Tribolium castaneum: one gene and its partner. The protein of the gene in region 1 interacts with the protein of each later gene in a pairwise test. Links are inferred from orthologs where the notes say so. Each region holds a gene or a part of one and is shown on either strand. Other genes may lie near its edges. The genes, in order: protein BCCIP homolog and RpL23.

The links.
Region 2: the proteins of protein BCCIP homolog (region 1) and RpL23 interact in binary tests that used the Homo sapiens proteins (3 or more experiments, as listed by UniProt). The link is inferred for Tribolium castaneum from reciprocal best matches to the Homo sapiens genes BCCIP and RPL23.

What each region holds. Positions count from the first base shown.
Region 1 is NC_087395.1:14,252,053-14,267,817, reverse strand, and holds protein BCCIP homolog, read left to right. Parts: upstream 1-9,752; 5' UTR 9,753-9,842; coding exon 9,843-9,938; intron 9,939-9,984; coding exon 9,985-10,239; intron 10,240-10,285; coding exon 10,286-10,783; 3' UTR 10,784-10,811; downstream 10,812-15,765. Other genes in the region: Tbc1d8-9 (TBC1 domain family member 9), read left to right, coding at 1-155, 202-491, 1,817-2,039, 2,091-2,234, 2,282-2,500; polycomb group protein Pc, read right to left, coding at 3,425-4,030, 5,623-6,147, 8,835-8,894; uncharacterized protein LOC107398622, read right to left, coding at 12,130-12,968, 13,019-13,538. UniProt on the Homo sapiens protein: During interphase, required for microtubule organizing and anchoring activities. During mitosis, required for the organization and stabilization of the spindle pole.
Region 2 is NC_087396.1:24,469,217-24,485,272, reverse strand, and holds RpL23 (large ribosomal subunit protein uL14), read right to left. Parts: upstream 8,384-16,056; 5' UTR 8,281-8,383; coding exon 8,268-8,280; intron 8,071-8,267; coding exon 7,987-8,070; intron 7,940-7,986; coding exon 7,614-7,939; 3' UTR 7,559-7,613; downstream 1-7,558. Other genes in the region: Faa (fumarylacetoacetase), read left to right, coding at 1-83, 129-335, 392-540, 586-780; fas apoptotic inhibitory molecule 1, read left to right, coding at 1,056-1,211, 1,404-1,632, 1,682-1,878; O-fut2 (GDP-fucose protein O-fucosyltransferase 2), read right to left, coding at 2,279-2,556, 2,609-2,786, 2,831-3,011, 3,065-3,296, 3,343-3,605, 3,650-3,771; CtsK1 (cathepsin L precursor), read right to left, coding at 4,045-4,231, 4,282-4,469, 4,528-4,763, 4,810-5,220, 5,336-5,817, 6,726-6,831, 6,874-6,922; metaxin-2, read left to right, coding at 8,384-8,417, 8,460-8,689, 8,739-8,781, 9,007-9,344, 9,392-9,633, 9,964-10,126; pio (cuticlin-4), read right to left, coding at 10,657-10,857, 11,326-11,481, 13,081-13,474, 15,107-15,249.

The DNA of each region.
Region 1 (15,765 bases):
GTCAGAAGAAACACATTCCGGAACGCCATGACCCGTCTTTGCAGCCGTACGAGGCGTACAAAGTCGATTTCGACTACTTTAAAATTTTATTTGCGGCGCTTTCGCCCTGGGGCAAGGGCGAGAACACGGAGTCTTTGGCTGCGAGGATTTTTTCGGTGAGTTTCGATTTTAATTGGCGCGTTTTGCCTAATGTGATTGCAGTTGTTGGACGCAAATCGTGATGGTTATATTAATTTCCGGGAACTTGTTGCTGGAATTGGGTTAACAGCAAGTGCAGATCCGGCTCAAAGACTGAAATTGCTTTACACGATTCATTTGCCGCCGCTTTTGTGCATGTCGGATATCGAGTCGCCGACGAAGAATGAGCACGGGGCTGAGATTGCGTCCGAGGCCACCGATTTTTTCGATAGTGTGGAGCAGAGCGTCAATTTGGATTCGCTGAGCTTGCATTCGGAGGAAGCGTCCACGCCTACGACCTCCTACACCTGGCAGTAAGTGGCAAAAATGCATTTGTTGTGTATTTTTTATTATTGTTTCGCATCCCGAGCTCCAAAGAATCTTTCTGTAACGGATCAGCGATTTTATTATTTATTGAGATAATTTCAGTTGCTTTATTTCGTTTTGTATTTTACATTTTTTTGCTTATTCTTTACAGTTAATGTCCCAGTCGGCGAACGGGATCGGTTTTTCGGGCACTTTAGCGGCTGGGGCTTCCTATAATGATTTTTGTAACATTTAAATTATAATCTTTTTCTACTTCCGGGGGTTGTTCCTTATGTCCTTGGCAACATTTCTTTTTAAAAGGATCGATCTCTTCGCCTTTGCAGTCAGGCGCGGGCGGTTTCAGCCTCATTCCAGCGTAGCATCTTCTCGGTTGTTTGGGTTTCTTGCTGTCTTTGAGCTTGCATTCGATGACTGTCCTGGGTTTAGGCTTCCAATTGACGAAACTGCAAGGAATACATTTTTTCTCTTCGACGATTTTATCGGGTGGTGGTGGCGGACATTCGCATCCCTCTTTGACTTTTCTCCAGAAGTAGTGTCTGATAAAAGCTAACGACCAAATCAGACCTAAACCAACTTTCCCAATTACCTAGATTAATATTGTGTCTTAGGGGCCTGGAGAGGATGCTCATTCTTGTCCTGACTGGAAATTTTGTGTCACTTGTCGTGTTTTGTTTGACGTTTTATTCAGTTTTTTTCGTTGCTGATGCTGGTATCGGGATGGCACAGCCGGGTAGTGAACCTTTATGAACCGCCTCGAGCATTGGGTACGTTTTTGTAATGCGGGTGCACGCAGGTGGTGCCAGATTTTGGCATTGGGCTTCGTTGTTGAACAGTTTCATGCATTTTTGGAACCTCCGGATTTCACAAATCGTTTTTTCCACTACTTTTCTGAGACCAAACGGCCCGCAAGGCTTTTCGTCTTCGTTAATGACCCACTCGTAGGTGTTTCGCTTCGGCCGTTGCAAGACAGCACATTGATTGGGACAGGTTTTCTCTTGAACGGTTTCAATTTCTTTCTTCTGGAACTTTTTGGATGGTTTTTCGGCACATCTTGTACCACACTCCCACGGGAGGGGGCCTCTAGGACTGTGCATTTGCCGTAAGACTGTGTTAAAAATGTCGACGAAACGTTTTGTCAATATAACGGGAAGTTTCAATTGGCGAAGGTTTGGGCGGATTGGAAGCATATTTTACCGTCGTGAGATGCAGTCTAGGTTTGAGAAAAACGCGGATTTTTTCGTTAAATACTAAAATTTTGAAAACTTGACCTGACATTTGTGTCTTGGGCATTTGCAGACTTGATTTTTTACAGAAAATCGTTCGAATCTCAATCTTCGGTGGACAACTCTTTGACGAGTAACAACGGAACGGGGGAAGTCAACTGGGAGATTAAAAGTTTAACTAACCTGCGCAATTTAGTCCAATCAAAGGACAGCAAAATCAACCTGAAAGCCGTTCCGAAAATGACGCAACCCCACTTTATAACACTGTGGAAAACTGTTTACGATATTTTCCAAACGGAACCGGAAGATCAGGTATTTTGCTGAATGTTGCCCCAATTTTTTTCTAATTTTTTCTTCAACAAGGAAACGTATCATGCCATAGCAAACGTGGGTACTTTACTGTTAGAATTAGGCGACGTTGGCAAACAATTCTTTATTAATCGAGACGAGTCTGATGATAGTCTTGTCTCGGCAGCTGCTGCTTACAATCCGGGAAAGGCAGAAGAGGTTTGGACGATTATTTATTCCCAGAGTTGTTTAAAATTAGGCAATAGTTACAGTCACCTGACAAAAATGGGAACCCCCTAACCCCCAAAACAGAGATTCAGTGGTACATCACAGTGGAGCAGTTCCTAGCATCGGTGCTAAACGCTCAACCTTTGGTTGATTTCTTCTCAAAGCGAACGTCGATTTCCGACGGCATTCAACAACTGAAAGGGAGGAGATACACAAGATATAACTCGCTTTATGAAGTACCTGCGATGAAGGTTTAATTGTATTTTATTACTTTGTATTTTTTTAATGACATTTTACTTCATTTTTATAGTCTTGTACAGCTTATCAATGTAAATATTTACCTACAGGTCTTATTATTTTGTATTTTACTGTAACCTAGTGCAATGTTTCATCAAATTGTTACGTAAAAATATACTTTACTAGAAACGTGCCGGGTGTTTTAATAAAAGTCCCTGCCTGCGACTACTTTTTATTTCAAAAATACCTTATATTAACGGAAACAACTATTTTCAACTCAATTATATTTTACACAATATATACAAATTTGTTAAGTAAAATTATCTTAGCTGAAGTTGTATTAACATTAAAACGTGTGATTGTAATGACAAAACTAAAATCAGAACGTAAGTTGTGGTATTACTGTATTATATAATAATACAAGAAATAAATTAATACAATTAATAAATAAGTTTCAACAATCGTCTAATACTAGAAGGTACAGTAAAAAAAGAAATACAAAAAACTATGCATATTAGTAGATATATCCAGTATATACAATCGAACCGGCTCTCACACCGTGGAATGAAAAATTTTACAACCGATCTTGTTGCTGCTTAACATAATAACTAGTCATAAATTAAAACCACGGGCCTAAATGAGCAGACTGGCTTGCTAAAACGAAAAAAATGTTTGGGGGAGCTGACATGTTAAAAAGTTAGTACGACTTTGTTATCACAGAAATAAAAAATTGAATCGGGAAGGACACTATAAAAATCGAATGGTGATCTACTCGTTCAGGCTGGTAGTCGGAAAATCCATATTAGCACCAACAGTCTATTAAAAATCTATCAGATCCTTGGGGAAAGTTTGCTCGCAAACGGAGCTACCCTGTACGATACCCTCGCGGGTATCTTAAGCCCATCACTACGTTTCACGACTTAAAACTACCGAAATAAATAGAGTCAAACAATATCACTAGAATGACTATTATCGTCCCGGTCTTTAAAAAAACCCTTCTCCGTCTTGCACTCCCGAATCGTGACAGTCTTCAAGTTCACCGTAACGTCAGTTATGAAAACCTGATCGGCGACGGGATTCCTCGCCAGCCAGTACTCCGAGCCCGGACTCGTCAACACCGGAAGTTCGTCAGTCATGTTATTATTATTGTGTCCGTTTACCGCCACTTTAACGTCCCCGCTCTTATCGCCCGCACTGCACTCTTTTTCCGGTTCCTCTTTACTCACTTCGGGTTTTTTCGGGGGCGGCGGCGGCGGTGGCGACGACACCGGGGGCTCGGTGGCGGGCCGTTTATCGTCGGTTCGCGACGCCACCGGTTTGGGAGACGCCGGCTCTTTAGTCGAGGAGTGAGGGAGGGTTGCGTCGACCGGACTTCGACTCTTATCGGTGGAAGTCCGGGGAGTTGTGGCGGTGAGAACTGCCGGACTTGACGCCGACGGTATTGCTGATGAGGCTTCCTCTTCGTTTTTCTGGCGGCCGTTGGCACGGTTTGTCGACGTTGCTTGCTGCTGCTGCTTGGTTGATGCCTTCTGCACCTGCTTATCCGAATTCTCAATTATGAAAATATTAGTATTTTCAGTGGTGGCTCGGTGGTTCAAAACTAGGTGAAGGGTTCATGCAAAATTCATGTTCCAGTGGATATTCAGTAACGCACAAAATGGGTCACGTAAAAAACAAATCCTCGAATAGGTCATTTTTTTGTAAACACTACACCAACATTAATCCAAAATTTATGACGCGAATGGTTTTTGAGTAATGACCTCATTTTTATTTTTCTATTTTTACGACGAAAAATTTATAAAATAAGACAAGAACAGAAAGATTCGTCTTGGAAAAACAGGCCGAAAAATAATCAAAATACGTTAAAATTTATTTCGTTAAAACCTTATTTTGAATGAAAATTTTTCAAAAAATATTCATATACTTCCACAAATTTCACTAAAAAAGGCAGAGAACAACTTAGTTCAAAATTATTATCATTTTTGCCTTTTTTCAAATGCTTACGCGCATTTAAAAAATACTTTTGTCACGAAATTTTGCTATGAAAGTTAATTGCGTTACTTTTCCCTTTTTCAAGTATGTCTTTCAGCCCAAATCATACTTATTTCGTATAAACTTCCCAGTTCAGGCCAAAAAATCACAAATGAAGGCGTAAGATTTGTCTTTTTTTGGCAAGAAACTTACTTATTGTAAAATTTTGTCAAAAAAGAGCGAAAATGACGTTCAGTTTCCTTAAAATTCGTCGAAAAATCATCAAATAATTATGAAATTTTGAGATAAAAATTCAATTATTTTGCATTACTTCCGTCTAGTACGCCAAAAAACTAAAAATACAAGAAGTCGCAAATGATGTTATCTTAATGTTTCGCTACATTTCATATAATAGTTCGTTTTATAAGTGCGAAAATAGCCTCAAAAATCCAAACAATACCTAAATAATTAGTTTAAAGTCAATATTTTTGCCTCTTACAAATGCTTAAACAAATTTTTAAATTAAAAATGCACTTTTCACGCAACACTTTGCAAATAATTACCTCTGAAGATCGAGAATAAATTACTTTTGTCTTTAACGAACTAGTTTTAGTAGTCTTTCAGCCAAAAACTCATTTAATAATAAATATAACTATGATAGAACACACCAAAAAAAATAACAGGAAGGTTGAAAATTTCATTATTTCAGCATTTTTCGTTAGATTTACCTTTTTTTTAAGCAAAATACTCACTAATTTTGCGAAATTTCGTCAAAAATAACTAAACAGTCAAATTAGGTGCCAAATTTCCAGTTGATTTCGCGATGACATTAGGGAGAAACTAATGTTTAGCGGAATTTTCCTCAAAAGGCTAAAAAATACGTAAATAATTAGTTTGCATTTGTAGGAATTAGAAGGAATGTTTGTAGATGGCATTATTTAACCTTTAGATAGGCTTATCTTGTTTTTGAGTAAGATACTCACTTATTTTGTGAAATTTCGTTAGAACAGGTCGAAAAATATGTTAGTATAGTTAATTACGTCAGTAATTACGAAAAATATATCTTAGTACGAAATTAAAATAAGGCTAAATTTAGATGGGAGTACCTACAGATTTTAGGTAGCGAGCCACTGATTTTTCACAAAAAAAAAACACAAAAATTAATTCCTACCTTATTTGGTGGGGGACTGGCGCTGGTGGGACTACTGGTGGTGATCGTAACTCCAATTTTTCCACTTTCTTTCGACAAAACTTCCGCTTTTCTCTTGGTCCCGATTTCCAATCGTGCCAAAATCGGTCTACGATCTTCGCTACTTGAACTGTTTGAATTTTCGTTATCGTCGACTCCTGTTGGCACTGGTGATTTTGACGATACTTCGGATTCGGCTCTTGTATCTTCATCGTCTGGATTTGGTGCTGATTCGGATTTTGTTTGTGGAGTTGATTTGCTGGTTTCGGCGCTTGTAACGCCATCATCTTGACTTTCTTCGCCGCTTGCACGTCCTTCGTCTTCCGTTTCCGTTTGCTGCTTTTCGGGGTGTCGGTCCTTCTTTTTCGGACCGCGCTTGTGGGGGTCGAGCTTTTGGCTACGTTCGAAGAGGTCGATCAGCCGCGAGTCGAGGATGTTTTCCTCCGGTTCCCATGTGTTGTGCTTTTGGCTCCAGCCTTTCCATTTCACGTAGTACTCGACGACACCCTGGAAAAATAATCGAAAAAATTGTGAATTAACTAAATAATTAAATAATCATTGATGATGAATCTTTTAGTCATAAACTTATAACTTAGTATTGTTCCGTTCCAATAGATTTCGATAACCCAAGATATTATCTTTGTTTTCTTTTCGGTTATTTCATTTGATTCATGTACTGTTAAAGTGAGTGATTCAATATAACAATGCTGACTTCCACCTCGCTGGTGATAGCAATTAATTACGGAGCATTCATACGAGTAATCGATCTGCTAAGTCATTCTCATTTTTATAATTCCATTGCGTAATTAACTAATTATGTACCGAAGAAATTTGATACATGTTGAGTGAGTTTGACCGTAAATTACTCAAATTACTTTTTTGGTTTCATTTGAAAAAAACAAATAAAATTAAAAATATTTCAACATATAATAAACAAAATGTAATAAAAAAGTCTTCTGAGCCAAGAAAAACATTTCTAGCCAAAAGAGCTCAAAATACTCTATATGATTTTATTATTAAATTATTATGTTTTAAGTTTCATCAAAGTAAAATTAATGAATCGTAAATTGTCATTTTTTATCTTTTTAAACCAGTTAAATTTTTATTATTTAATCTGAAGTAGGTAATGCTAAGATAAGATAATTAAAAAATGTGGCTACTTTTTATCGTAAAGTCTACATTAGGAAAAATATAAACAAAGTGATATTACAATACTTTAAAATTTTTGTATGAATATCAACGACATGATTAATTTTGCTTTGTTTTATGAATTATTTAGAGATTATTTCTGAAATTTCTTTAGATGCAACCAAAAATACTAATTACACTTACCACTGAATATGCGTTTGATTTTTAATAAATAATTTTTATATTTTTAATAATAAATAAAAGTAGTTCATAATGAAATTTTAGCAAAGACAAAGTTGCCAATGCAATCGTGGATTTATTTTGAAATTTCTAAGAAAAGTTGCTTTAAATTTGATGATTCATTACTGCAACTACGTGTAACAAGATGAGAAATTTGCATTTTCTTACGACGTACATGTTTTTACAACAGCAATTATAAATGCTAAGCAGTTAAAAAAACATAATACAAACAATTTAGAAAAATGTGAGTTTGTTCAAAAAACATCTAGTACATAAATACAAATTGCATAATGAGTTTCATAACTAAAAATATCACGCCACATGTCATATGTCCGTATTTTAACAATTTTTTTGATTACATACAATCTAATGGTTTCGAGTTGAAGTCAGAAGTGTTCTTTATTTAACCTTTTTTATGCAAATTATTCCATTCACGAATAATCTGGAATCAAAATCTATCTCTTTTTATGGCTTTGACATTAACATCCGGTAATTGTAAAAAATAATTAAATTAGGACGAAATGTTCTCTTGTATAGGGTGTTCCAAGTATTATGGCCGAGGCAAAAATAAATATCTCTAGTCGAGTAAAAAATTAAATAGTTTAAACGATAGGGAATTAATTGAGTTACCACTTGATTTTTTTATTGTTCAAAATTTTTAAGGTATTGCTGTGAGACATGTAACTCGTGTCTTTTACTGTTACATGATAAAAAGTTAAATGAAGTGAAGAAACACAAACAAGGTGTGAACAAAAAAAAGATTTTCCTTTTTTCATTTTGGTTACGAAATGCACTCAGTTGTTAAGCTTGATGCAGTTTTTTTTTGTTGGTAATATTTTAACCGTTCTTTTTGATATCTGAATCCTACATTATAAACACTATTTTAAAACACGTTTCCGATAGCAATTTTAAAACACTCTTCCCATAGCAACGTAAATTAATATGTTCCAACAAAAAAAATTGAATAACATTCATACGAAAACGCTTAAAGTTCTTGGGTGTCTAGCCCTCGAACTTTAAGTTTGTGTTTTCGCACTCGTATTATTAATAACTATAAATAATCTGTTTAGTTCAATAACAGTGAAAAATAATAAATAAAGCTTAATATTCAAAGTCAGTTTTTTTTTATTATTTTGGAGTAAATTTTTTTACACGACGTTTGAAGAATGCATTTCCGTTCTGTTGGTTTTTCAACATTTCTTATCTCAATGTTTACACAACTGAAACATTAAGTCATCGTCAGTTTAGACGACGTCTGTATTATTTTTTACCAAGCTTCACATTACTCCAAATTAGCACAACTCTATATCAAAGCCCCCAAGTTGATTAACCATTTTTCAAGAAATTAGTGAACATCTGCAGACATTTCGACCAGTTCATAAATTATAAATTACGACCTTGGATTACTTTATTGACTCCAAACCGTAATAATAAGCTTGTAAAGCTTTTATTGTCAGTCAATCGTCAAACCCGTTTCGTCTATTATACCATAACTTCCTCAACATGTGGCACTTGGCAACAATAATGACGACTTACAGCCCCAACCCCCATTTCTTGACAACTTTTATTGAAAAAAACCGAAAACGGCGTCCTAATTAACCCCACGACTTCCTCCCCGAAGCTCCTCAGCCGTGACTCACGTCTTAGACCGGAAGGGGTGACAGGAAACCCCAATTATGTAAGGAAATACCCCTTGAGTCACAAACCTTATCAACAAACCCATCGCAAACTGTCGATGGAAATTCGAGGTTAGCTCCGCCGGGAGCCCCCATTTCCCCCACCAAACAACCCGAAAAGGATAATCATTTTCAAGGATGAAAACTCACCCGACGGACTCGTTTTTTTATAATCCTTTCGGCGGCATAAACATGGTCACCAAGTTCCATTGTTATGGCTGATGGGGACGCATAAAAACTCCGAAAATTATTGCGCACCAGATACTCATCTAAGTGCACAACCACAAATCGAACTCAGCTTTTCTCAGCATTTTCCCGAGAAAAACAATACGGAGTTTTCCGCGAAATTCACAAATTGCGTCCACAACAACTCACTCACATCACATTGGCTTTGGGGAATTTGACGTGCCCGGTTGGATGCACTGTGCGCGCAGCGCAAAGATATTTTTGGCGAAATTAATTCATTTCGCGATTTACAAAAGGCAATCACACATAATCTTCAAGTAAATCACCAGAAGTTTGCACAAAAAGGACTTTGGGGATGTTCTTGCGGTTATCGCACTCGCTTTGCAGCACTTTCCACCCCTCTGGGATAATGGACTCGTCCAGCCGACCAAATTTTCAAAATATTCTTCCAACATTTCAAAAAAGTCGAATATTTTTAGTTAAATTTTTTTTCACGCGGGTTTTATCACATATACATGTTTAGTGTGTCTATAAGGTTACATAACAATTTTTTGTCCACAATAATGTTACTTGCTCATTGCCTATAATTATGATAATTTTTTGGTTCGTGAAAGAATGACAAAGTTGTTAGCAGTAATTTATGTTTAAAACTTTATCTTTTTCCCAGTATTGCCAATAACTGATTGTTTACTGAAAAAAAAATACATTTTTTGCGGCTTTCCCGGGATTTCCCAATTGTGAAGATTAAAAATGCAATTTTAAATCCTTAATAATTTAAATAATTATTCCAATAGCTATCAATTGATATTAAATTAAACTTCATCTTTTTTCAGATTTTATTTTGCCAAACTAGATTTTTGTACTGGTCCACTGTAATCCCTGACACTTGTTTGAGATTTGACAATTCCCTAACCTAGGAATACAAACCGGTTGGCTTGAGAGTTGAGTTTTTAGTGCAAATAAGTTCAAAACATGGCTGGGGCTTCGAAAAAGTCGCGAAAGGTCGCGAAACCCGCCTCTGATGAGGAATATCAAAGTGACGAGTCCGGGAGTTACCATGGCCAACAAGTGGGTACAGTTTTTGGGGTTATACTTATGACACGTGCTCTTGTAGGAAATCCAAGCGACTTTTGAAGGCCGAAACCCCGAAGGCCAAGATTTTCACGGCATTAAACAGTTACTGAATCAGTTATTTTTAACTGCACATGTTGATTTGGGCCAAATGAGTGACATGCTTATTTCTCAGGCTGGAATTGGATCTGTTTTGAAGCAAAGTTTTAACGATAGCGACGACGAGGAAGATATTGAGATGGTGGAGGAGTCTGATGTGTTTGGTATCACCAGTGTTATCAATCTAACGCAACACAAGGTGGTTGTGTTTATTTTGCAACCTGGGGATAATAGGGGGTTTTCAGGAGACACCATGTGTTCAACAACTGTACAAGTTAGTTGATGATGAGGTTACGAAACAGGCGGATCCTGAAGCTAAATCGTTATTTAAAGAAATTGTGGGAAACAATTCAAACAAAATTGGTTTTATTATCAATGAGCGGTTTGTTAACATACCATCAAAAATCTCCCTTCCTATGCTACACGCATTACAAGATGAAATACACAGAATGGGGAAGAAGAATGACGGCTATAAGTTTGATTACTATTTAATGATTTGTAAAAACTGGAAGTCCAAAAGCGACGGTAGTGAAATCGTCTTCTCAAATGATGAAGAAGAAATCTTCTGGAAGAAAGCTGACTGTAGGTTTGAATACAGTGTGGCCGGAAAAAGTGACACAGGACTGACGGGGAATTGGCAAAGTGAAGATAAAGAGTTGATTCCACACAGAGTAATCATTTTGTTTAAAGCGGACAAACTTCCAAGTATTATAAGCGAAATACAAAATTTTGTGTCAAACTAGGCTAAGAATAATTTTTTTTAAAAGCAAAGTGTATATTTTCTATAATGAAATACTATTACATGAAATACACACACTTAAATACTAACTAGGGTGCGACACAACGCCACATAGTACAGCTATGTTTTAGAGTAAGAAAAATAAACAAAGACAGTGAACACAAGTCAAATACAGTTGAATACAAAAAATAAGGGACAAAGTTCTAGAAAATTAACTAAACCGAGAAGGTTTGAATTGGTTTAGCACTCAACCACTGGTAAAAAATTAAACGAATCATAAACCTTTCAAGATAAAGATATGCTGAAACCTTCAACCGTATTCGCAGCTCAGAACGCAAATTTAAATAACTATTTTTCGTAAAAATCGTAGTACACTTTTCTTAGCTTATTAATTTGATCCCCAACTTCCCTGCTTTTCTTCAAAGCAATTAAATTAATTTAAAACAAAATTTTGCTTCGCCTTCTAGTATTTAGACTTAGTTTCACTTAAAATAAAAAAAATAAATGCCACTAATGATCAATAATGCTTAGGTGGAGGTTCAAAAATAAATTAATACTGATTAATGAGATCATTTTCCTTGACCAAATTGGGATGAAAAACGGTAAAAACAGCTAAATTTCTGACAACCGTATAGTTTTTCAAGCCAGCATCTAATTTATGTGTTTGTTCATCAACTGCTTTAAGTTCAAACGTGTCAAGATTAACACTGCTGTGTTTATTTGGTTGCGGCGATAAAACAATCCGACCATGAACAGGAAGTCGTAAAATTCATTATTCACCTTTAAATGTTGGAAAAGTAATATTTTTTTCCTTAAAATTATTTTCAAATAGTCTTTTTGAAATTAGCTACAATACAAACTTATGTTTTTTTAAAACACGCTCTTAAAAAAAACGTATTGCCCAAAAACTAAGATTCCCAGAAAAAAAACTTTTACCACTTTAAAGAAGAATGTTTAAAATTAAATAGAAACCAATTGTTTAACGCCAAGCAATTAGGAATTTAGAAAAACTATGAAGTTTTACAGGGTATTCTATTAAAAAAATTATTGTAGCTAATTTAGAAAACATCTTGTATGTTTAAGAATAATTTTAGGTGAGGCAGGGGTCAGTATCTAAAAAAAAATTCTTTTTTAACACATAATGTACTTTACCTACTTATATTCTTATAATTATTCTGTGACACTGCTTCAACTTGAATATTTTTTTCCAAAAAACAACATAATTCATTAAATCATTTAGAAAAACATAACATTGCAGTTTGTATCCTACTGGTTTACGTTAAATACTAGATTATTAAAAATTCAAAAAAATGTGTCTAATTGGCAATGCAAAAAACACCGTACCTACAATTAATGTAAAAATATAAACTGCTTGGGTTTGGTTACTTCGTAAACAAAAACCTCAGCCAGAAACGCCATTGTTGCGAACAAAAGACCCAAAAGTAGCCCATAAAACAAGAATAAAGTCATGTCTAGAGTCAAAGGTTTGACTGCGTCAGCGTCCGCAACACCTTCCGGTGACAAAAACCCCTCAAGTGTTGCATTATGAATGGACCTTTTAGCCCACAGTTCAATGAAACCACCTTCGCCCAACCTCCTCAATTTTTTATTCAATACGGGCAAAAGAGGAGAATTATAAATGACTTTGTACGATTGGTAATTCGGGATGATACTCTCTTTGACCAAATGGTACATTTGCGCCCCATTTCTCCTCAGATTTTTGCATCTAGAGACGAAAAGTGCGATATCGTGTTCGATTATAAATGCAGGGAGTTGTGAAACATCGGCTTTGTAAGTCATTTGGTCCATCAAGCCTTCATTACTGGCCAGAGGTAGTAATGCAAGAGTGAACTTTTCGTACTGCGTTCCGTTGTATTTCTTTTGGACTTCTTCGGCGTAGTTTGGGAGCGAGTAGAGTGGAAGTCCTGATTCAAACAATTGTTCGATGGTGTTTATGTCAGGGTGATTCAGTCTGATGGCCAGAAAGCTGGTTATTTTAGTTTGCAGGAACATGTTTACAACAAAACAGGACAATATCCACCCGAAAATTAACAAGCGTTCCAAACTGTGCCGTGGAAAGTGGATTACATGGTTTATTACCAAGACAGACCACACTTCGAAAAAGACGTCTTTGATGATAATACGTTGTTTGCATAATTTTCTAACAGTCACAACTAAGAGAAAAACAACTGGAATTTTATTAAAATTACACAACACTCCAGTAATATGTTGGACTTACTTAACGAAATTGTCACATTAAGGGCCCAAGTGGAGGGCTTGTAAATTGCCGCCATTAATTCACCCACCGGTATTTCCGAAGCTTTCGGAACCAAAATACTCAAGTCGTTCTGAGTGTGGGGATATAAATTCTCCACAATTTGGTCATCGACAGTAAACTGCTCCGATTTGATCAAAATCGAAATGTCCCGCTTCTCCAAAATTTTGATTTTTCGACTTGCCCTATCAGGCCAATTGATTGCCTCAAACCAGGGATTTATAAACGCATTGTCCATCGTTTCAATTTGCAGTTTCCCGTTTAAGTGTGCCACAATTGTGGCAATTGCGTTATAATCCTTTCCCTCAAAATCCACTTTTCCGCTCCTCCTCACTTTTTTTATTTTCGTCCTGTCATGGAAAGTAAATAAACAATTAATTGTGCTCCCGTGCAGATCTCTCGTCTTGTCGTAGAAGAAAGGCAAAGGCGAGTTAGTCAAGTTAACAATTTTGTCGAATGTAGGCAAAAATGGATTGTGGGTCATCACTTCAATTTTTCCGTCCGATTCGTACACCACGATGACGTTGAAACACTTTATTTTTGCATACGAGTTTAGAAGATACGTTATAAAAATCGGAAGGGGTTTTCGAGTGAGAATTAGGACAATCTTGGCTCGTGAAACTCTCACTCTTTTGAAAATATCATTGGCGTACGAGAGATCACCCTCCGGGTCGGTCAGGACGAACTTAAAATGATTTGGATTGAGCTGGAAACAAGCTTGCAACTTTGGCCGAATTTAAATGAATTTGACTCACTAATGGCTTAATATTTCGGTTAATGCCGAAATTAATTATAATGACGCTTGCAAGATCGTTCAGTTTTTTGATAGCAAAGTCGCTAAAGTCGGGCTCGACTTCGTTAATGGCGATGTAGAGGAAGCCGTCTTTTTCATGGCTGTTTTCCATGATTATGCGAACCATGAACTCCTTCATAACGTTTGAGAGTAGGTAAGGTTCGATTTCGAGTAATTTTGAATTGGTGCATGAACTGATTTCAAAGTACTGTACCAAAAATATAAAGGAATAAAGGCGCATTTTGTTTGCTTTTTTAGAAGGGAGTGATAGAAAAATCGTCTTTTCGCCTTTTTATAAGGCAATTGTAATTGTAATTTGACTAAGTCCAGCGAGATATTATTACAAGTCATAAAATAAAATGAGTAGAGCAAATCATTTCGGGTAAAGAACAACTTCATTAAATAAACATATTGATGCAATATTAGGTAAATCGCTTGTGGGCTAAGTGCAATAAAAATAAGAATATTAAATCAATGATTCTCAAGAATATGGTAAAGAATATCAAACATAATACAAACATAAAAAAATGGGAAAATATAATTAAAAATAAGGGTTAGGGCAAATAATAAATAATAATATTTTTGGCTATCAACAAATTTTACAATAAAAAAAACGTAAGATGTTTTGACATAAACATGTCATCATCAGCTACAACAAATTGTCAAATACTAAGGTCCAATAAGTAACTATTTTAGGACAATTAACTCAAACTCACTTTCTTAGGGAAAGAATAGAATAAATTGTTTATTCAACTCATTTTTCAGCCAGGAATAATGCAATCTGACACCAGTGGCGTATTTTGGCTGCCCCTGGCTATGACAACATTAAAAAAAATATTGATTAAGTCAAAAAATAAGGATAAATTTACAAACCTCGAAAAAAGACATTTTTGTACTTTGGAAATTTGTAGCATTTTCAAAATTTTAAATGCTACTTACCACTCCTTTTTTGACACCTCAAATGAACTGCTAAACTGCATAAACTGCTCGAAAAATGTTAGGTGTGTTTGAACATACACTGTTCCATAACAGTTAAAGAAATCTAATTATTCTAACATCAAACAAATTGTATCAGTTACCGAGTTTTGAATAAATAAATATCTTTTTATCAGTTGGCTTTCTCTATAAACTTTTTCAGTCAGATTAATTGAATGAAATAGCAATTCCCGTTCTAGCACAAGTTCTTTAAGAATGCAGGATAGTTTTGAAAATTAAATTACAAAACCTGGAAAAGTTCTTTGTGATGTGACCAAACATGCGCTAGATTTTTAAATATCTCTTATAAGATATCTATTAAAAAGTGACTCTGTATTTCAAGAAACTTAGCCATTTTTACGCTTTTTTCTATATCTATAATATTACGTTGTCTCTGACTTTTTTCAAAGACATTACTCATTTCGAATTTTCTTTAATATGAATTGAAACTACTAAAAATTTCTCAAAACTTATTAATCAAACAATTAAGAACTTAAGAAGTAAAAAAATAAGACGAAAACTAAAAATCTGATCAATTTATTTAAAAAAATGCAACTCATCGATTTACTTGCTGTTTTGTTAGCCAAAATAAAGATACTTTTGCCGCCTCCGAAATAATAAAAATTTGTACACAATATCACGTTCGTTAAAATGGAATGAATGTTTTACAAGCGAAAGAGTCCAAAGATACATAAAAGTATTTGCTAGATAATTATGGCAAACTTGACAAATATTTTCTTAATATTGTAGATAACAAAAAACGAAAAAAAATAATAATATGCAGAAAACTCCAGGTAATTCCATTAGATAACAGGAAACTGTCTTACTTTGTTGTTGACAAGAGCTAATTCGCTAATTTAAATTTATAATATTTATCTGCCACCCACGAAGATGACTCCTGCAAAGTGTAAAAGTGGGCCAAACACCTATCATTAAATCTCTT
Region 2 (16,056 bases), on another chromosome or scaffold:
GTCAAACGAGTTAGGCAAACCCATTCCGATTGAAAAAACCGACCAACATATTTTCGGGTTTGTGCTAATGAATGACTGGAGCGGTAAGTGATTTATTGTTAATCTAGTGAAAAAAAACTAAATTTTAGCAAGGGATATTCAAAAGTGGGAGTACGTGCCTTTGGGGCCCTTCACTGCCAAAAATCTAGGGACGACTATTTCGCCCTGGGTTGTTACCACTTTTGCCCTTGAGCCCTTCAAAGTGGACAACTACTCGCAAAATCCGGAGCCTTTCCCCTACTTAAAACACGACGATAAGTTCAATTTCGATATCGGGCTGCAAGTGGACATCACCCGTGTGTTTTTTATTTCTTTTTTAAGGATTTTTAACCTTCATTGTGTAATTTTTTAGCAAAGGGGCTGAACGTGTCAACCACAGTTTGCCGTTCTAATTACAAATATTTATACTGGACGGCAAAGCAACAACTGGCCCATCACACCATCACCGGGTGCAATGTCAGACCTGGTGATTTGATGGCAAGTGGAACAATCAGTGGCGAGGTTTGTGTAAAAATCAATAGACAACAAAACATTTTGTGTTTTCAGACTTCAGATTCCTTCGGTTCGCTCTTGGAGCTGTCCTGGAGGGGCACCAAGCCCATTTCGCTCCTTGACGGCAGCCAGAGGAAGTTCCTCCAAGACGGTGACACGGTCACCATTAAGGGAATGTGTGAAGGCGATGGTTATAACATCGGTTTCGGCGAATGCGTCGGTTCGTTACTGCCAGCTATCGACATGTAATTTTTTCCAATACAAAAAATAAAGTTTGAAGTTAATTGTGTTTTTGTTGGTAAATAATAAATGATGGCACCGCCAAACGGAATGTATCGATCATGAATATAATAAATGCGGGTCTTATCAACCTTGGCTCCCTTTCCATAAGAGTGAAAATCACGAAACGGTATAGAATACAAACATTGACGAGAACAGAGCGGAAAAATTGTACCAATCGTGGTTTAAATATGTATGTGATGCAATGTCAAGGCTCTAGCGCTTGATTAAATTATTACAAGAAAATGGCTCTGAGCGGTTCATTGCTCAGTAAAAGTAGTTCTCAGGAAAGATCAGATCTTGTGGCCTTCTGGAGTGTTCCACTACTTGATGGTATACACACTGTTGAATTTGAACATGGGGGAACAACCGGGAAACGGGTCATCAGAGTGGACGGCAAGGTACAAAACCGAAAAAAATATAGTTTTTTTGTACAGTCACAATTGTAAAAAATGACACCAACTCGGCTGCGGCTATAAATAATACAATTGTTTAATTAGGTGGAGAAAAAATTGTTTTTTTTATTGTTGCGGTCTGATTTAGTTTCTGGTCCGATTTATGTTATTTTTTAAGCTTGTGACTGTACATTTTAGGAGATATTGCGGCGCGACTGGATGTTTAAACTTGTGGGCGATGAAAAATTTACTTTGGGAAAACAAGGCGCTAAATGCGAACTGCATGTCGATCCTTTGCCACATTTCGCATTTGCGTACAGTCTGTACGTTGATGGAAAACCTTTGGAAAAATTTACAGAGAAACAGTCACAGACAACGCGATCGTGGGCGGTTGTGACAGAAGGGAAACGCTACCGTGTTGTTTTTGGTTAGTTGCTTGATTTTTGTAATTTATTGACTTATAAAAAATGTTTCAGAGAAACAAACTTTGAATGTGTGGGTTAACGGACAGTATGTTGAAACTGAGAGTGTTTTTATTGACGGTGGGAGCGAAATGACGTTTGAATTTGAGGATTTGAAGGCTGCGATACGGGCGACTTCGACTGATCGCAAGCAGGGGGTTATTCACCAGCTTTACGTCAATGGGAAATTAATTGAAGAAGATATTTACTGATAATGTGATTTGTTTTGTAAATAAATAAAAAAAGATTATTCCGGTACCGGGAATCGAACCCGAGCCTCCTGGGTGAGAGCCAGGTATCCTAGCCACTAGACCATACCGGACTTATTTAATTGTGAATTACCCTTATATTTAAACGTAGTAATATGAAATTAAATTTTGAATAAGAAATTGATTGCATTTCCCATTGATTTTATCTCATATCAAATAAATTAAATGTCTGGTCCAAAACTTGTGCAAGAAACTATCAACTGTCGCGGAATTAATGAAATAATTGACGCTTTGTCAATTACATCCTACATGGCGCCACTAACAACACCGCGCGGAATTTAAAATAAAAAACATTTAATCGGTTTTATGGCACTTTATTAAAAACATTAGACTACAAAATTTGTTAATACACAATTTTCCAACGTGTCGGTTGCGGACACTCTGTATTTTCCTTACAGAAACAATTAAAAGTTGTGTCTGGGGGGAACCCCAGAATTTCTCTCTCCTCTTGAATGCGAAACGAAAACGTGCTTTCATACGTCCCTATAAAATATCTAGCGTGTGAACAAATAATTTGATCAATTATTGCCACTCCTCCGTCTTTGATTTTTTCCCTAGTTTCACTGTCTGGTGTATATCTTTGTGTTTTAAAAGGTATGTTTTTTATAATATCTCTGTACTCTGCGTTAATTTTAATTAGGTAAAAATTATTTGGTTGAAAACAATTAATTACCGTCCTCGTCTGCATCCGTGGCGATAAAAACCTGCGATAAGTTCAATTTCTCAAGTAAATTGGTGATTTGTTGCGTTATACTATTGATTGAAGGGACTTGATGAGCCCGCCCTCGCAAAAAATCCCTACGTCTTAAATGCACCCCTAAATAGGGCCCCCCTTTTGTGCTCCGTTTGGGCTAAAAATCCAAATAAATAACGAAAAAAAATGGAAACAAATTACTTTCTCATCCTCCCAGTTTTCAGGTAAAAACTCATCGCTCGAATTTAAATATTTTTGGCGAAAATCGAGCGCAATTTTTTGCAAATCTTTATTAAATCTCATACTACGCCTACACTGCCAGTAAGTTCGGTCTCCGAACATGTCATGTAACGCAACTTCTGCATGATCCAACAAAATTGTTCTTCAAAAATGATGAAAAAAATATTTTTTTCAGTCAATATAATTATTTCTTACTTGGCGGACGATTTGAGCAATAGTTGCGACAATTTAGTCGCAGGTCCATGATACGACAAACACTTAACATTGTTTGAAGTAACATTTTTATAGAAGAAATAATTTATTTGGTATTTTTGGGCGCACTGTTCAATTTGCATCCTGTCTTTGAAATTGCCAGTCTCAAACATGTCTTTAAAGTGCTGCAAAACGTAAACCTCGTCTATTTTAACGCCATACGTCTGATTTATGGCTAAAAATTAATTTGTAACAAATAAAAAAAATGATTACTAACGCACCATCAAAAAATTCGTACATTTCGATAACCGGCGCAAATCGTTTCAAACTCTCTAAATCAAAAAATCGCCCCCACGGTATGTGTTCCGGTTCCGCATTGTACTTCCAATGGAACAAACGTGACCATGGGGGCAAAACCAACTTAAAATTGTTCAATTCGTCCTTTTTTGATTGTTTTAATTTGTATGCCAGAATGGCAAAGCGCATGTAGACGTCTCGACGCAAATTGAAGCCTTCAGGCGGGTTCACGTCATACAGTAAATACCTAGAATGGGGTTACAGGGGGCTGCAAGACACCGGGACCCTCACCTGTCTTTTGAGCCATAATTTGGGCCACAGTCTGAGTCAATGTGACAATAATCCTGGCTGCAGTTGCAAAATGCGAAAAAAACGAGCAAAATAAACTCAAATAAACAATTTTGTGTCGACATTCTTTGAGGTTATGTCCGATATGAGTTTGTCAACTTATTTTTAAATATCGAGAAAGATCAGCAAAATTATGAATTATTGCGCCAAGTGTTCTTAATAATTGATAACAAAATGTATTTGTTTTAATTTAAATGTTAAAAAAAATAATAAAAAATGTGTATTCTGAGTTGGCAACAAAAAATCAATGATCATGTGACCCAATTTTTCAAAAAAAACACCAAATTTTTAAAGTAACCATTATTTATTAAACCAAATAAGACTCAGTCACAATTTTATTACATTGTTACGTAGGTTGGAGTTGTCATGACTCCGCAATTGTTGTCTTTGGACGACATTAGGATGTAGCCATCGTTGCCCCAATAATTCGACCAACTGTTTTTAACCAACCAGTAATTTTCACCATTTATGGTTCCATACCCAACTGCCAGAACGGCATGATCTAATTCGTCAATTTTATTACCACTGAAAAATTTTTTTCTTGAAAATATAACAATGGATAAATTAAAAATTACCATTTGGGTTCGTAATAAACCCCATTGGAGTAAAAACTGAAAGTGCGTTGACTAGCATCAATGGCCACACTAATAGGCCCATGTTTGAACAAAGCCAACCTCAAGGCATTTTCATCATTTGTTGTAACGTTAACATAACCGGTGATTTTGGCAACTTTTTGCACCTTATCTGCATGACAGTAACCGTCCTGTTAAAAAAATGCTCAGTGACCTTGAAAATTAAGTTGGCAAGACTCAATGACTCACTTGTCCCAAATAGGGGCCATAGGCCTCCTCAGTGGGGATACCACCATGTTTGAGCATCCATTGATATGCCCTGAAATCCTCACCCCCATCACAACCGTTATTTCCATACCCCCAAGAACAATCAACTAGAGCTTGTTGAGACAACCGGAAAAGTCGGCCCCCATTGTGCAAAAAAAGTGCCCCCTCGACTGTACCCACAGTTCCGAAACTCCAACACGAACCACAAACCGATTGATCTACGATTTAAAATACAAAACTGGAACTCACTTAATCAAAAAATACCTTTAACAGGTGTTACGGCCCCCAACAGCCTCCAGTCCCACTGATCGGGCAAATCCTCCTTATTTATGTTTTCATACGGGAAGGGGGCCCCACCGTTGTAGCCCCCCGAATAAGTGCGCCCTCGCAACGCCTTCAATTCGGTTGGGGTTTTATCAGCCAAGTGATTCACAGTCAGGGTGAACCCCCTATTTTGTCTGTTCATCGAATGGATAAATCGGACGTTTTGGCGGAAAATATCTTTACGCATGAGAGTTTCGGTTTTATTTTGGTAATTTTTGCCATGTTTTCGCGTAAATTTGCCAAATTCGAAATCAACATGGCCACTTTTTTCAGGTCTGATGAATTCAGCCATTGGGTTAAAAGTGTAAATGTGTTTGTCGCCAGGGCCCGGGAAGGCACTACATTTCATGTCTAAAAATTAATTTCGGTCAATTTAGTTTCAACAAGTAGCCATTGATTTCGAGGCAACAGTGTGTTGCAAAAATCACAGGCTACTCTGATTTAAACTATAAGGTTGGATAAGTACTTGAGTCAAATTTGAAGATGTCGTCCGGGATGGGGTCTGAGCTGAAGGAGTCATAATCGAGGTAGTAGTGGTCATAGTGACTCCCCAAAAGTGAATTAAAGCCCCTCATTTCGTATTTGACCGGAACGGCGATTTTTACTCCGGTGTTGTCCGGGTCGTCTTTGTAATACAGCCACATGGCGTATTTGTTGACTTTTTGGCCGATTGTTTGAGACAGGGCCCATTTTTCGGTTAGGACTCCGCTAATTGTCTCCTCTCCAGTACATTCAAAACCTGTGAGGTCAGGGAGAATGGATTGGGGCTCAATTGTGTTTTCTTCAGTTCCGTTGACTTGGAGACAGGTTCGGGAGTTGGTTTCGGTCTCTGTTGTCACAGGGGCTATTTTAAGGCTGCTGCCGTATGGCCCCTCTGTGGAGAGTTGGTAGGTTTTCACCATATCGCCGTAGTAGTCAATACGGGAGCGTTTCGATTGGCCATCGTACCTTGATTATTTATTTAAGAATATTTTTTACTAGTTTACTATTTTTTTTTTATTTGAAAGCCAAAAAGCAAAACAAAATGTTCTCAAAGTAGTGACAATTTGTGATTAGGTTTTCTTTTCAAATTAAAACCTATTTTTCTAGTTATAATAATTTATATATTAGGTTTTAAATTTATGTTTAATCGCTGACTTTTATATAACAGTTCAACTTCACTTTTCCACAAAAGTGAATAACAGTGCAACATAATTTCCTTGTTATTACCTAATTTATCCAGAGATGGAAAATTACAACTGTATTAGAGACAATTATCAAATTTATATGATTGAATACAGTAATTTCAATTGTTCATTTATGAGTCGACAAATTTGTTTGATACAGATCACAGGATGTAAGATTTTGAGATAGTTAATTGTCAAAGAGAAAACAATATTAATTAGCTTATCACAAAAATAACAATACAATAAGTGGTTTATTAAATCTAAGTTGTTTGTTAATGAATTTATCAACAACGTGACTATCAGTTTAAGATTACTTAAACTTCCTAAAAATGCGGAATGAGTTTATAATGAAAGAATGCCAAATTTTATTACCACAATAAGTTGAATACAATTTTTTGTTCTAGTTGGAAATTTGTAATACAATAGATAACATTGTATCGGTGATTTTTGTATTTTTTAATTCATACAAAACAACAATGCCTTCTGCGTAGTTGAAAGAAATTAAAAAAATATTGCGTAAGACAAAAACAAAATAACATTGTCCAAATTATTATTTAATTTTTTTCATCACTATTATTTTGCAAAGGAAAAGTTTATTGAGGGTTAAACACCTAAACTTCGAATAAATTAGTCATCTTGAACAGTACTGAAGTTCGGGCAACTGAGTTTATGAATTTTTAGGAAACTTACCAGGCGTAGAAAGGTTCCTCAATTTCAGCATAAGGGATGTAAAGAATGCCCTTGACCGTGTATGTGTTGCTCCAAGCCGGCGCTTTGTTGGAACAGTCCCCATAGACTACCAAAAAATGTACTGATAGTTTAAAAATTTGTTACTTACCTAGTGCCAAAAAACACGAAAAAATCACACTTTTAAATAACATTCTCATTTGGCGTCAAATCTCCAAATAAACAAATAGCCGATAAGAGGCCTCCTTTTAAAAACAACCCCCACGACCTATGAACTCAGCTGATAAGTGGCAGAAAGTTTCGATTGGAGTGAAGCGATTCGACAAAGAGGGGATGTGCAAATATGGACAAAACTGCTTACTGATTCGTCAATACGATTTCATCAGCGTTTTTAATTGATTTCAATCAGGAATAGGAGGCTCAAAAATTGTTTTAAGATCAGATCAATATTGGAAATGGATATTTTATGACGATTACAAGTCACTGAACTTTGCATTGTTGATGAATTTGCCGTTTTCATAACTGCTGTTTCAATGCCTGACAAAGCAGTAAACTGGCCCACATCTAATTTTAGAACCTAATCGTTTTTTTTTTAGTTTAGTTAGTTATACTAATTTTTAATTTTACTATTAAGTTTCACTTTTGTACTTAAGCATTGTTACTTTTACTGCTTCACAAATTTTGATTGCAATCATTTTCAGAGTAAAAGTGAGTTTATTTGGTTTAGCTGAATTATTTGCCTCACTACGTTTGGTAAAAATCAATGTTCAACTTAGCCGTAATTAACATAATTTGCTATTATCGCTTTAGTTATTTAAGGTTACTGAAAGTCGGTGTGGTAAAGACCGTTCTTTATTTTTTTACACTTTTTATAATAAAGGAAACATACAATCAGGCGATACTGCTCGCATTTGAGGCGATCCTGGGCCACAAGTCTGCACATTCCTTCGCCACAGGTCCTGTGATAGCCGACCCCTTCATTTCTCCTTTATTGTTCACAATGACCCCCGCATTGTCTTCAAAGTATATAAACACCCCATCCTTCCTTCTGAAGGGCTTCCGTTGCCTGATCACAACCGCAGGCATGACTTTCTTACGAAGTTCCGGTTTGCCCTTTTTCACAGTCGCTACGATCATATCGCCGGAACCAGCAGCCGGAAGACGGTTCAACCGACCGCCGATACCTTGCACAGCGATTACATACAAGTTTTTTGCTCCTAAAATCTAATTTTGTAAAACTGCAAACGAAAAAACCAAAACCCACCTGTGTTGTCAGCACAATTGATGACTGCACCGACGGGCAAACCCAGGGAAATCCTGAATTTGGCTCCCGCGGAACCACCACGTCCTGAAAATCAACGAAAACATGTTACCGCAAACATAACCTAAAAACGAAATAGCGCAATTTTAAGGACCATCCCCGAAAATATCTACACTAATTCATGCCGATTTTCACAGGGATTGCAACAAATAAAGTTTAAGGATACAAAAGTGAGGGATTATTGGTGATTTTTGCGGTTTTTTGGAGATTATTCGAGCACTCACCTCTCTTAGACATTTTGGATTTGGAAAAGAGCGGTTTATGCAACCGAGAACGCACGTCGATTGTTTGACATTTATTTAAATTTTGGCGGTAATGTCAAGCATTTTCCAAAAAAATAATGTTTGGTGATAATTGTGGCGACGATATTCAAAGTATTAACCCAATAGTGTGAGTTAGTGGTAACGCCCCCATAGACGTTGTTTTAGATATTGAAGAAGATGTGTGCCGTCAAACTTCGGACACTGAAGGCGAAATGTTGCCTTTGGATCAAATTGAGGATAATAACGTTAATATCACTGATTTGGACACATTATCCGTGTCTGATTTTCTAAATGATTTGGACTCCCAAAGTTCGCACAACACTTCACCAGTCAATGTTGATTCAGACGAAATTGACGAAGACATCGAGAGCCAAAATAAAAGGGTTTGTAGAAACGTAATTTCGGGACGTAAAACAATTCGCATGATTTAAGGAAATTGCATTAGCTGCAGTTTTGGAAAACTTGCACATATCCTGTAAGTTCAAATTTGTGGTAACTTCAGCGCCATTCGGTTGGCAGAGTTAATTGTAATAACTGTCAGTTTTTCGTGTTTATGTGCGTTTATTTAGTTAACAAAAAAGGTTTATTTCAAGTATAAACGTAGATTAGTTAGTATGGTTTTAGTCGATCGTATCCAAATAGAATTAGGGGGTAACTCACTATGTTTGTTACATAATTGTGACATAACCTCAAACTTTAGCCCAGGAGCCTTGGCCCAAAGACGTCAAACTCTTCCAACCCTACGAAATCGAGCAAATTCTATTGCCCGACAATGCCAACTGTTTGGCAGTGCAAGCTTTCCTCAAAATGTGCAATTTGGAGTTTCAAGTGGAGCCACGAGCAAATGCCGAAGCCATGTCCCCCTCAGGCAAAGTCCCCTTCATCAAAGCTGGGGCCTTTGTCGTATCTGAACTCGAACCGATCGTACAGTTTGTTAACAATAAGGGAATCACCCTAACTGATAAACTTGACCCCGAAATGAAATCTGACATGAGGGCCTACATGAGTTTGGTCCACAACGTTATGGAAGTTGCAGAAGTGAGTATTATTTTATTATTTTACGTTTCAAAATAACGTTCGCATAGTTGTACATTTGTTGGTGTGACAAAGAGACTTATAATGAAGTCACTAGTGTGCGATATGGGTCCATTTATCCATGGCCTTTAAACCATATTCAAAATAGGGTTAAGAGGGCACAAGTCATAAAAAAATTGAAGGTTTTGGGGTGGTATCAAAAAACAATGTCGGAGGTGTTCCAAGAGGTGGAGAATTGTTGTCAGGCTCTCACTGACAGGCTTGAGGACAAAGATTTTTTCTTTGGTGACAAGTATGCACACCTTTAATGAAGGAAGTTTTCCTTCACTTGGTTGATCGCATTGAAAATAAAAGGCCTATTGTTATTTCCATTGATACTTTGCTGAATGTGGTTTAAACCGATATAGCTTAATAATGTAAAAAGACTTAAATCACTTGGAAATAAAATTGAGATTTATTTTGGCGATATTTTTTTGCTTGTTTTATCCTTGCACTTGAGTGCATGTGAAAAGTTTCCAAATTGAATTATGGGTCTTATCACTTAAATAAGAAGCGAGTAACTAGGTGAAGGAAAATTTTCTTTATTGGGATAATAATTGTGTTTTAAAGGGTGGGATTTTAGACCAACAGAGCTTGATGCTTTAGTGTTTGGTCACCTTTTTACCATTTTGACGACTCCCTTGCCAAACAGCCACATTGCAAACATCGTCAGAAATTATCCAATTCTTATAAATTTAATCCAAAGGATTGAAAGGGACTACTTTAAACGAGAGACGAAACACTAGTCGTGTAAATAAAAGACAACAGTTTATTACTTTTATATTTATTTCCTGTTAAATTGAGATAAATGTAGATTAAAGCACCTTTCAGTTAATAATTGTTCGCTTTTTTCTAAGTTAAGCTAAAGGAGATCAAGAACCAGGGCAGCATTACAAATTTATGTACAAAAAATAACATGGTAATGCTGCTGTGATTCAAGATCGGAAAATACAAACAAGCAACGGCTTGGTTTGTATAAATTATTGAGATTGAGTTCAAATCGGGTGTTTCCCCCCGATTGAACATTGTATAAATAATCCCTCCACCGTCCCCTGTTATCATGACTATTATCTTAACCTATCGGAACTTGAGGTAAATTACTAGAGAAACAGACTGAGGCAAGTAATAATAAGTAATAATGGCAGTTGAAGATTTCATCTTGAACACCATTCGAAAAAAGACGGACGTTTAAAACTATATGAGCACTGAGCCTTTGAATGGCACACCTAAGCTAATTTTCGTTCGATAGAGTGATGGCAGTTAGTTATCGCTGACTTTAACTACTATGACTATAGGCAGTGTTGGTGTAAGGACCGCTGTAGATCGAACTGCCAGGGTTTGAGGAAGTCTTCTTCGAGCGTCTTCTCGCCAAAAGGCAGAGGATTGCAGCGATGACGCAAAGCATCAAAATCAGACCCGCTATACAAATTCCGATAGCGAAGCTGCGTTGCGAGATGCAGATGCTGTCCTCAGGTGTCTGCAAAAATTCAAATTTTGCCTTTCAATAGTCACAGTGAAAGTTCAAACAATGAGTAGTTTTTCAAGTGGAGATACGCATGACATTCACTTTTCATTATTTCTTATTAACACAGGAGATGAGATTTATCTTTCGTTTCCGTCAAATGATTGTCCAGGAAGTTGAACACATGATTTCGGAGGAAAATAATGAATAAACCGTTTGATCTCATTGACCGATTCGGCCGAAATTGCGCGACTTTTTTCCTCGTTAAATCTCACCGAAGGTCATTAAATTAAAATGACTCACGGTCGGAAGAAGCAAAAAACCACCGTTGTTTAGTGACTGCAACAGCGATCGGTTCGCTATTGTTGTTGTTTCATTGTACGAAAAAGGCGACAGACCGTTGTTTATTTTTTGATTGCAACCAAAATTGGCAATGCCTCCTGAGGCGATGTTCGTTCGAAGAAGATGTGGTAGGTAACTCACCTTCTCGCTAAAGACGGAATCCTCCTCCAAGCCGGCTTTGGCGAGGTCGTTAGCCTCATTGACATAAAGGCCGCTGTATACTTCGATAGTGGCAGGAGTCCCTTCGGTGGGGTCCGCTGCTTGTCTGCGCAACCTGTTCCCTCCGCAACTTGGTGGCTGAAAAAAAACACAAAAATCTAAATTCAGGAATTTTTTTAGTTGTGGATTTAAAATGGGAGTGGATCAACAGTTAATTGAAGTAATTCGTTGAATTCTAAAATTTACATACATTGCCTTGTAGGCGATAACATAGTATACTGTTAACAACTGACGTACTACAACTGTTGAATAATTTTTAATTAATTAAAATTTTTTTCTATTTTTTTTCCTGCTCGTATTTTAGATTTTATAAATCTGGCTCTAAATGTGTTTATTTGATAAACACTTCCACTGATACTGTTCATAAAAACTGAAGATAAAATCTGAAAATTTGTGCAAGATAATTCAAATGTATCTATCAACGGAAATAAGCAAATTCATTAGTCTATTAGTTGGCGATTACTAAGCCACGACAATTAACGCGTTCGTCGTATCTTAACACCAGCAAAAATATAAATATTATTAAATTGATAATTAATTTCCACGGAAGAGAATAATTTAGTTAAACATAACTTAGAGAGTATATCAGAAGTTTGTAAGAAATAGGGAATTAAACAGTAGGAAATGATTAAATAACTCACTTGTTGTTTTTAACAGTTTTCAATTTATTACAAATCTGTCCACTGAAAATTAACCGTTATTTGCAAAAACGCCAATTTTAACACGATGTGGCCCAAGTGTCATTTGAGGACACGCTGTGGATGCAATGGACCCTGACGCCCTCCCATTTAACCTTGGGTGCAGCGGCCATACACCTACAACCTGAACCTGATGGTTCTTCTCAAAGCGAACTTGGCTAACCTCAGTCAAGAGAGCTAACGGTAACGGATCTAAAATCTTTTGATTTGGTGTTTTTTTCAATTCGGATTTTGTGATCATGTGCTGAGAGAATTCCCAGCTGTGAAAAGCAATTAAAAGGAAATCAACGTATTCTTTCGGCAGGTCACGAATATCATTTACAGATGGACGTAACTGTTGTGGTTTATCTATCGAAAATACTAATCATAAAATCAATTTATGCAATAACTGCCAATTTTGGTTTCCTCTAAGTGGATTTCGTAAATAGTAGAACTTTCGTTTTTTGAGAGAAAATTAAAATTCAATATGCTCATGTTTCGTAAGATTATAATAATGCAAATAAACACATTTGGTTGCTTTTATAGTTAATATCTTCCTACACGACTAAAATAATTTCTCGTCTGGCTTTATTGGTTTTATCCTTAACAGGTTTAGTGACAGCCTCCATGTCTACGAATTTGTAGGATTTAGTGTTGAATATTAAGTCTTGATGATACATAATTATTTATTTATTCTAAAATAAAATTTCAACTCGTTTTTTCAGAAATTCTAAGACTTTGAGCAAGTCGTAGAGCATAACATCAAATTAACTCTTTAATCTAGGTTTTGCTTCTTTTAAGAGACAAACACAAAGAGAAAAGTTGTGGAGCAACTTGAAAAGTCTGCATTTTTAATTAATTGGTAATTGGTTATTTACGAGTATCCTCTCACTTTTTATTCAGTAAAATTGTTTTTTTGTACAAAAAAGACACTTTCTATTAAAAAACACACTTGTCCTGTTCCTTTTTATTGCAAAATAAATAAGTCAAGGCTACTTACGGAAATATCGCACCCTCCATCAGCCTTCAGACACAACTTGACGTTGCATTGGTAGTAAACCGAGGCGGTATATGGGAACTTGTGCGCCTGAAACTGCACCGAAGCTTTCGTCTTGTCCTCCGAATACTGAAACTTGCCCATAATTTCAGCATCCAAAGGACAGCCTTCGTCATTAATCAGTTTCTGTTCGCCCCAGCCTAGCCCATCTCTGACCAAACAATCCGTAACACGTATTCCGTACGTGTCTTGCTCGTCCAAAGTAATGACAAGTGTTAAAGGGTCACCGATTTTCACGTTCTCGGCAACTTCCTTGTACGAAGGGTCTCCTGAAAAGATTTTCATGCTGCAGCCCGGCATGGGGGCCAGTGCTGTGATTGGATCTGCAGCCATCAAACTGAAAGAAAAATCAGTTTTCTTTACGGACTTTCTTGAGATTGTAATAATGTTAAAACGTGTGAAAAAAAAAACAGGGAACAAAGGAAGTGGCAGTTGAAAGTAAAGGAAAACTGTCATAAATTATCATAATATGTATTGGTTGGCTGCAGCTACAAACATTCAAACTCTTATCTCCGGTCGGAGATTTTGCATACAGCATGGGCGTAAAGGTCATAAAATCGAGTCCGCGTATTTCCATATCCACACTATCTGTTTTGTTTTTTATCACTGAATTTATTACCCACCGTTGTTACAATTAAGCCAAGAATTCGCATAAAATATCATTTATTAAACATCGTCTCACTTTGCAGCAATTTCAGCTCATCCGGTATTAAACTAAGTATGTGAACTTCAAATCATCAATCGAAAACTGTTTATACAATTATTTTAATTAGAGACAACATTATGCAAATCATGAACATTGAACTGATTTCCGAGCAATCATCAAGGCTGTGTGTTTCATTTTGTCAGATTTTTCATTGACTTGTAAAAATAAACAATATTTTCACAGGTTGTTGACAGACAGAATAAACTATTTTGTAATAATATTTGCTGAAAGTACTGCTTACTTTACCGTCCTTATATAGGCATAAAATGGGTAGAAACTCAGTTGGTCAGACTCACAGCTGCTTTTCTGAATTATTCAATCAATGCTTAATTGAATAATTTATAATTAATTGTTATAATAATTAATAATTATTGGGTTTTGTTAAAATTGGTTTCCAGAAATGTTTTAACGCAAAAATTGTAAATAGTTTAACAAAACCAGAAAGAAAAACTTGATTTTTGGTCTAAAAACGTATTTTAATCCTTCGGTGATTCTTCATCGAGTTTTGGGGTAATTTTTTTAAAAAGAAACATAGTTTTTACCTCAACAAGACTCGAAGAAGGCTAAAATACTACTGTTTTTAATGAAATTTTGCGAAATAGATATAGATAACATAATTTTGGATTTAATTGATCTATTAGAGTGAAATTTCGGAAAAAAACAGTCAAGATTTTAGCTTTAAAACGTGCTTAAATTCTCAAAGTCTAGAAATAACATTACTTTTGACCAAAATTTATTGTTTGTTGTAAAAAGTTCTTGTAAAGTAAAAAAAAGCGTTTTTTGGAAACAAAACGAACTAAGTATTTAATTATTTCGACAAAATACCTCGATTTTTGGCTTTTAATCGTAATCTAATCGTACAGAATTAGTCAAAAATGAAGATAAGCACACATAACACAATTTATTTGAAAAACGAGTCAACGTTATAAATAAATTATCGAAGACGCAATTTTCGTAATTCACATGATACTAGGCGTTTTATTACGAAAGGTAAAGCAGTAAACCAAAAATAAAAAATTTCCTAATGAACTAAGTGAAACGTTAAAGGTTTTTAAATGTTGCAATTATACTTAAGAAACGAAATTATTAAAAGAGTTACTTCATGTTCGTAGTCTATGATGATGCAAATTCTTTAACTTATAAAAATGAGAGATGCGAAAATTTATGCGAAAAGGATGAGGAAATTCTTTGCAGAAAAATGGTTGTACATTTACTACTCGAAACGAGATTCCAGTGATTCCACGCTTCATGAAAAATACTTACTCAACCTTGAGGGAATCATTCGTGATGGTGTTATTCCTGGTGTTGTAGCGACACCGGATATGGAAACCTCTCCCTTGGTTGGTGACCAGCTTGAGATGGGGTTGCACAACGATGGTATTAAAATATTCAATACCACCATCATCCTGCAATTAAAATAAGATGATATAATGATCACAAAAAGACTGAATGATGTCATGCAACAAACAACCTCAAGGTAACTTAACCCATGCAATCATCTTTCCAGTACTGTTATTAATTAAATATTGTCATTATGGGCAGGTGAACGCACTGCCAAAAAAGCCTCTCATTTATTACTGTCCCTAGAGAAAGTGACTAATGATCACAGCAGAAACCAAACGGGACTTAAAACTGGAAAAAATTAAGAAGCAGTGCTCCTACGTGTCCAACCCACAATTAAAAAACGAATTTGTGTTTTTGTGAAGGTCGTCGTGGGCTTTGCAAAGGTCAAGAAAACCCACGATTTTGTCAAAATTTTCACGTTTTGTGTGCATTTGCAAAATTAGAAAGTACTGCTCTATTACAAATGGATTTAGTGACTGTATAATTGTGACGTAATCATAATTGTCCTTTAATAACCGCTATTGAGCCCCAACTTCACGGTTTGAGTTGGCACCTCTTAATTAAATGCCAGACTAACCCGGACTTTGTGACGTATTATTTAGTCCCACATGACTCCATTCCAACTAAGGACGTGACCACACCTTTACCAAGATAACCAAGTCAAGTAGCATTGTTATCCCTTAACTCGTTTTTTAGACACTTTCACTTGTGATATAATTTTGGCGGTGGTAACCTTTAAAAGCCGAGACCGGTTCGTCTTCTCGCGATTTTTCGCCTTGTTCCAATCAAATTTCTGTTTGCGTTTGTGTGATAATTTGCATAACTTTCTCTGCGGTTTAACTTTTTCCCAATTATATAAGAAAGAACCA